Linked DNA regions of Caenorhabditis elegans. The protein of the gene in region 2 purifies or fractionates together with the protein of the main gene of each other region. This does not show direct contact. Each region holds a gene or a part of one and is shown on either strand. Other genes may lie near its edges.

Region 1 (3,382 bases), on a different chromosome or scaffold from region 2:
TTTTCAGCCCATTCGGTGAGGAAGGCTGTCGAACGAAGAAGGACGCGTGTCACAAGCATCACAAATGGATACCATCGTTGAGAGGAACTATTGAGCTGGAACAAGCTTGTCTGTTTCAGAAAATGTATGAGCTGTGCCACGAGATGCACAAATTGAATGCTCACGCCGAATGGACAACGAATGCTCTGTCGATTATGATGCACAAACAGCCGAGTACGGAAAAATGCTCATTTTTTCTGCGAAATTTTGCGATTTTCGCGCCAAAATTACGGTGGCCGGTCTCGACACGACAATTTTTTGTTGGGTGCAAAAATGTGTGCGCCTTTGAAGATTACTGTAATTTCAAATTTTGGTTTTTTTTTAACTTTTTTATCGGAAAACTATAAAAATCACTGGAAATTCCGCTGCAACTAAAATTTAAAGTTCCAGTAATCTTTAAAGGCGCACAGATTTTTGCAGTTAGCGAAAATTTGTCGCGTCGAGACCAGGCACTGCATTTTTCGCACAAACTGCCCCGTGTCGATTTACGGGAATTGTGTACTCCCCGAGGAGAAGTTTGAGAATTTTACAGTTTTTGTCGAAAAGCTTGAATTTGGACCAATTTCTCTAATTTTTTTTGTATTTAACGGTCAAAAAGCCGAATTTGCTGTTAAAAGCAACTGAAAAAAATTAAAAAATTGGCGATTTCACCGTTAAATATGTTATTAATCAGCAAAAAAAATTCAAAATCTGGTTTTTCCAGGGAAAACCGCTTCTGCTCGAGGAGTACACGAGCTCCGTAAATCGACACATATCCCGTGTCTGAATGAGAAAATCCTCAAAATTTCACAGATTTTTAAATCTAAAAATGAAATTTTACAGATATTATTGATTCCGAGCAAATGTCCCTATTCAACAAGTCCCAATCCACGTCATCATCCGCCTCGGCTCACGGAGCAACGACACCAATCAGCTCAACATCATCATCATCATCATCATCATCAAAAAACGATGATGAAATGGAAGATACCGCCGAATTTCTAGCAAATCTGGCTGTACAGAAGGAGGAGGAGACGCAGAATAATTAAAATTTCCCTATTTTTTTTAGTTTTTTCCTCAAAACTATCATATTCTTTCATTTCCGTGGAATTTCGTATCTTTTTTCCAAATCTGAACAACATTTTTTTCTGTTTGAATAGGTGTCGTCCTGAAATATGGCGGAGAGAGAGAGAGTGAAGAGACGCAGACACTCTAACGACACGTTGCGTATATTACACGAAGCACTGGCTTTTTCATTCGTTGTTCTTCAAAATTTTTATGATTTTTATCTTTTGAACAAAAAACAAATTGAACTTACCCTTCTTTATATTATTATTTTATTTATTTTCTTCTAGTTTTCCAAAAACCTTTTTTTGTTCTATTTTTTGTTTCACCCAATTTCTCTCTATCGGTGTTCTTCATTTTGATCCTCAACTATTCACTCATCTCTCTTTATACATTTTGGTCTCTCTCTCGAAGAAAATTGACATTAAATGTATTATTTTCCATTTTCCGAATTTTTCAACAAAAAACTTTTATTCCAAAAAAAATCCTTAAAAAATTTAAAAAAAAACACCAAAAAAATTTTTCAGATGACTTCTCCAGCGAGTAGCCGAACAATTTTGGTGTTCGACGTCGATGGAACACTCACTGCTGCTCGTCAGGTTAGTCTGCGAGATTTTTGCGATACGGTACCTGGGTCTCGACACGACAATGCGCCTTTGAAGAGTATGTCGTGTCGAGACCAGGCGCCGTTTTTGGGGGGCAAAATTTTGCTTCTACATCTAAATTTAAAAAACCCCAACATTTTCAGACTATTACGCCTGAAATGCGAGAATTCCTGATCGAGGCTCGCAAGCGTGTCCCGCTGGCAATCGTCGGAGGATCGGACTTTAAGAAGATCACAGAGCAGCTGGCAGATCACGATAAGGATTTGTGTATGTCTTTGCTAATTTTTTTTTTTGAATTACAAATCCTAATTTCCTCATTTTTTCCAGTGCTCTCCCTGTTCGACTACACATTCTCGGAGAACGGGCTCTACGGATTCAAGGGCACCGAACCGTATCCAGTACAATCAATCCAGAAAGCCATCGGCGATGCGAAGCTCCAAGAGCTCATCAATTTTGCTCTCCGCTACATGTCTGACATTCAACTTCCTGTGAAACGTGGAAATTTCGTCGAATTCCGAAACGGGATGATCAATTTGTCGCCTATTGGACGGAGTTGCTCACAAGAGGAACGAATGCAATTTGTGGAGTTTGATAAGAAGCACGGAATTCGCCAAAAGTTCACCGAGCAGCTCCGCGAGAAGTTCGGGCAATACGGGCTCCAGTTTGCAATCGGAGGACAAATTAGTGTTGATGTATTCCCTACTGGATGGGATAAGACCTTTTGTTTGCAATATTTAGTGCCAGATTTCGATACAATTCACTTTTTCGGAGATAAAACCGCGCCTGGCGGAAACGATCATGAGATTTTTGCCGACGAACGGACTGTCGGACATACTGTTGAAGGGCCAGAAGATACTCGGAAACATGTGGAGAATGTGCTCAAGGAGTTGGATTAAGCTTAAATTATATTCTTTTTGTTTTTCTAGTTAAATATTTATGTAATTCTAAATACTAGTATTTATTTATTGTGATCCTTTTCATTCCCACTGGTTTCTTTTTTTTGGATAAACCGCAGTTCATTTTTCTGTGAAATATGAATAGTTTATGAAATCGAATTTGAACTGCCTGGAATCTAGGCCTGCCTACGCGCCTACACGGCGGACATGATGCCTTGTAGGCACGCCAAAAACTAGAATAAACTTACAGCGATCTTGGCTGATATTCTGATTATCCAAATTTACCAATTTAATGGGGTTCCAGGTCTCGACGCGACAATTTTTGTTATATACAATCAAGTGTGCGCCTTTAATGAGTACTGTAGAATTTTTTTAATCGATTTTTCAATTTTTAGATTAAAATAAATAATAACGAAAACTACAGTGCATTTTTTTTCCACTTCTACGACTTTAAAGGCGCGCGCATTTATACAAAATGATCCCGTCATTGGTCTCGCCACGCGCTCAACAAATCAATGGGATGCGCGTTTTTTTTAGTCGTAGAAGTTGGAAAAAAATGCACTGTATGAAAAATCAAGAAAATTCTGCAGAAACAAAATTTTGAAGTTACAGTAATTTTTAAAGGCGCACACCTCTTCGCAGTTAGCCAACATTTGTCGTGTCGAGACCGGGCACCGTATTTTTAGAGCAGCATTTTCTAAATTTTTCATTTGCAGATAATCTGGGTAATATAGCTTTAACCTGGCTAAGTTTAATATCATTTTTGGTTTGCTAGAAAATTGTGAATAAAACCTGTGT
Region 2 (3,756 bases):
GAATATGATTAAGCAGAAGAGAAAGCAGAAGGCTGGAAAGTTCAACGTCCCAATTCCACAAGTACGAGCTGTCAGTGATGCTGAAGCGTTTAAAGTCGTGAAAACCGGAAAAACGAATCGTAAAGGATGGAAGAGAATGGTGACAAAAGTCACATTCGTCGGCGAGTCATTCACCCGAAAACCCGCGAAATTCGAACGATTCATTCGTCCGATGGGACTTCGTTTCAAGAAGGCACACGTCACACATCCAGAACTTCAGACGACATTCCATTTGCCAATTGTTGGTGTTAAGAAGAATCCGTCGAGTCAAATGTACACATCTTTGGGTGTTATTACAAAGGGAACCATCCTTGAAGTTAATGTATCCGAATTGGGAATGGTTACTCAAGGAGGAAAGGTAAAAATACACGTTTTAGAGCCGAAAATTTGGAATTTCTCATTGAAAATGAGAGCCACGTGGCTACAGAGGGTTTTGGTTGAGGCTCAACACTACAAACTACACAATTTGTGAGCCTCAACCAAGGATTTTTCGGCGCGTGGCATGATACTAACCGACCAAAAGCGCTCGAAAATTTGAATTTCTCCCTGAAAGCAAGAGCCACGTGGCTTCTGAACACCAAAAATGAATATTTGGTTGAGGCTCTCACTAGCCTCAACCAACGCACGGTTTGGTTGAGGCTGAGACTACAAACTACACTTTTTCTTTAGCCTCACAGAATTTTTCGCGTAGATTTTTCCATTTTTCTTCTACTGCGCACGATAAAATTCAATTTTTACGAGATTTTTTCTGTAGAAGCTTTCGAAATTTGAGTTTTAATCCTGAAAATTGCGAATTAACACTGTAAAATTGCCCCGTGGCGGTAGTTTTTCTGGAAATTCCACTTGGCAGAATGAAAAACTCTCGAAATTCGAAATTTATTGGTTTTTTCTCCTGAAAAATTAAGTTTTTACAAACAATTAGACTTTTTTCGGCATAAAAACCAAGCAAAAATATTATTTTTGAGTTGGTTGAGGCTCAATACTACAAACTACACAATTTGTGAGCCTCAACCAAGAATTTTTCGGCGCGTTGCATGATACTAACCGACCAAACGAGCTCGAAATTTTGAATTTCTACCTGAAAGTAAGAGCCACGTGGCTTCTGAACACCAAAAATGAATGTTTGGTTGAGGCTCTCACTACAAACTACAATTTTTCTTCCGCCTCAACCAATGTAATGCATGGTTTGGTTGAGGTTAAGACTACAAACTACACTTTTTCTTTAGCCTCACTCATTTAAAAAAAATTAATTTTTCCAATTTTTCAGGTCGTTTGGGGGAAATTCGCACAGGTGACGAACAATCCAGAGAACGACGGATGCATCAACGCCGTGCTTCTCATCTAAATGATCTTCTTCTATTTTCTCTTCTTCTTCTACCCACTTCCATTTCCACTTTTACTCGTTTCTGCGTTCATTTTTTGTTGATTTTATCATTGTTTTCTCTTCGTCTACACACACATTCAACCGGAATAAAGCTAAATTCCACGTTTCTATATCTGTATTTTCCACGTGTAAATTTCAGTGGTTTTAGAATATTGTGAAATTAAATATAACTCGTATATATTAAGTAAAGAGGACCTAGAGGTTGTGTAAAGCTATAAAGCTATTACGAAAGAGTACGCAAACACCGTGCTGACGTGCATACACCGAATTTGACGAGCAACTGGAACACACTCCTCTTACCCCCCAACTCGTTTCTTTTTTAATTTAATTATTTAATCATGTAGAAACTAACACAACGTGGCATACTTTTTATTGCAAAAAAATGCATTTATTTTCCAGAATGAACCGTGATTAATCAGCGCAAACATGAGCGAATTGTCAAACGGTCCGAAGAAATCGATTGGCAATATGTTTCTGAGAAGTGGAATCGAAAAGATACTCGCTGATCGGGATATCAAGCGAAAAGAGAACTTGCAGCTCAAAAAAGCGTGTGAAAGTGCTCTTGGTGGGTGTTTGGTTGAGAAATTGATGAATTTTCACAGTTTTTTAGTTTATTTCTAAGCTTAATTTCTTGAAATTCAGTGAAAAAAGCTGTAAATACATGTAAAAATCCCATTAAAATGTCTAAAAACATTGGTTGAGGCTCACACTACAAACTACATCTCACCAGCCTCAACCAATTGCAAAAAACCCCACGTTTTGGCTTTTTTGGGATTACAATCCATTTTTTCAAGATTTTCTCAGTTAAAAGCTTATTTCTCAGCTTAATATCTTAAAAATTCTGGAAAAAAGGTGTAAATTCATATAAAAATCCCATTTTGTCGTTGATTGAGGCTCACACTACAAACTACACGATTTCGCCAGCCTCAACCACATTCTAAACTCTTAATTTCAAAGAAAATTTGTTTTTTTTTCTCTTGAAAATACTAATTTTCAGCTAAACTTGTCAAAAAACGATTGAACTGTGAAAAAAAACCTAGAAAATTGGTTGAGGCTGAAAAACTTTGTAGTTTGTAGTCGCGTGGCCTCAACCAAATTTTTGGTGAGGCTCACAGACTACAAACTACAAAATTTTTCAGCCTCAACCAATGAATTCTACGTTTTTTCGAGAAATTTTCACAATTTTTGAATAAAGTCCCCAAAAAACCAAAAAAGGGGAATTTTTCGATCGGTTTCTGTCGAAAAATCTGAAATTAAAATTTAAAAAAGCGAGGAAATTCGGAAAATCACAATGGTTGAGGCTAAGAATAGTGTAGTTTGTAGCCACAGCCTCACCCATCTCGAATTGTGGTTGAGGCTTACACTACAAACTACAAAGTTTCTGTAGCCTCACCCAACACAATTTTTCATGAAATTTCAAATTTTTTAAAAAGAATTTTATTGTTTTAACAATTTAAAATCACTGAAATTTAGCAAAAAATAATATTTTTTGATTTAAAAATACTTTGCAGAAGAACTAAAAGCCGCGGAAGAGCAAGATGCCTCACCAAGCTCAAACGGAGAACACCTACCAGATGCGGGTGGCACCGCCGTCGAAGCCGATCGATATTTCCTGCCATTCGAGCTCGCGTGCAACTCGAAAAGCCCGAAAATCGTGATAACCGCGTTGGATTGCCTACAGAAATTGATCGCCTACGGACATTTGACGGGTCGTGGCGCTGATATTTCAAATCCGGAACGAAAGTTAATTGATCGAATTGTCGAAGCGATTTGTGCACCGTTTTTAGGTCAAGGAACTGATGAAACTGTACTTTTGCAGTTGATTAAGGTAGTTTCTAGCGAATTTTTAATGCAAAAATTGAGGTTTAGACCATAAAATACACATTAGAGGTGGTGTAGTCGAATTTTTTTATTGCCTTTTAGACTCAAAATTGTCTGAAAACACCGAATTTCGTAATGAAACTGGTTGAAAACTTCTCAAAAAAAGTTATGACGGCTCAAAAAATGGCCTAAAATTAGTTAAAATCGGAAATTTGACCGACTTGTCAAGCGGCTGGAAACTATTTTTTTTCGAAATCACCATCAAATTTTAAGTCTACAAATTGATTATTTTGCGTTTTAAACTTCATTTAGGTATTTAAAAATCGATGGATGGCGAGATTTTTAATTTTTTTAACCCAAAACTCGCCGTCCATCGATTTTTAAATACCGTATTTCTTCTATTAATATGGCTGCAAAACTATTTTTCGATGGTCTTCCCGCTTGCAATACTAATAGGGAGTGCAAGACTATTAGGGAGTGCAATACTAATTTTCAGAACATTTTTCTGAGTT

The links. The genes of interacting proteins can lie anywhere in the genome.
Region 1: the proteins of agef-1 (region 2) and F52B11.2 fractionate together in Caenorhabditis elegans (co-fractionation; one large-scale study listed by BioGRID). This does not show direct contact.

Annotation. Positions count from the first base shown.
Region 1 is NC_003282.8:14,081,958-14,085,339, forward strand, and holds F52B11.2 (putative phosphomannomutase), read left to right. Parts: upstream 1-1,610; coding exon 1,611-1,682; intron 1,683-1,831; coding exon 1,832-1,955; intron 1,956-2,015; coding exon 2,016-2,584; 3' UTR 2,585-2,738; downstream 2,739-3,382. Other genes in the region: cfp-1 (CXXC-type zinc finger protein 1), read left to right, coding at 8-213, 862-1,067. UniProt on the Caenorhabditis elegans protein: Involved in the synthesis of the GDP-mannose and dolichol-phosphate-mannose required for a number of critical mannosyl transfer reactions.
Region 2 is NC_003279.8:13,624,292-13,628,047, reverse strand, and holds the start of agef-1 (SEC7 domain-containing protein), read left to right. Parts: upstream 1-1,822; 5' UTR 1,823-1,849; coding exon 1,850-1,988; intron 1,989-2,934; coding exon 2,935-3,251; intron 3,252-3,756. Other genes in the region: W09C5.1 (Ribosome biogenesis protein NSA2 homolog), read left to right, coding at 1-397, 1,307-1,384.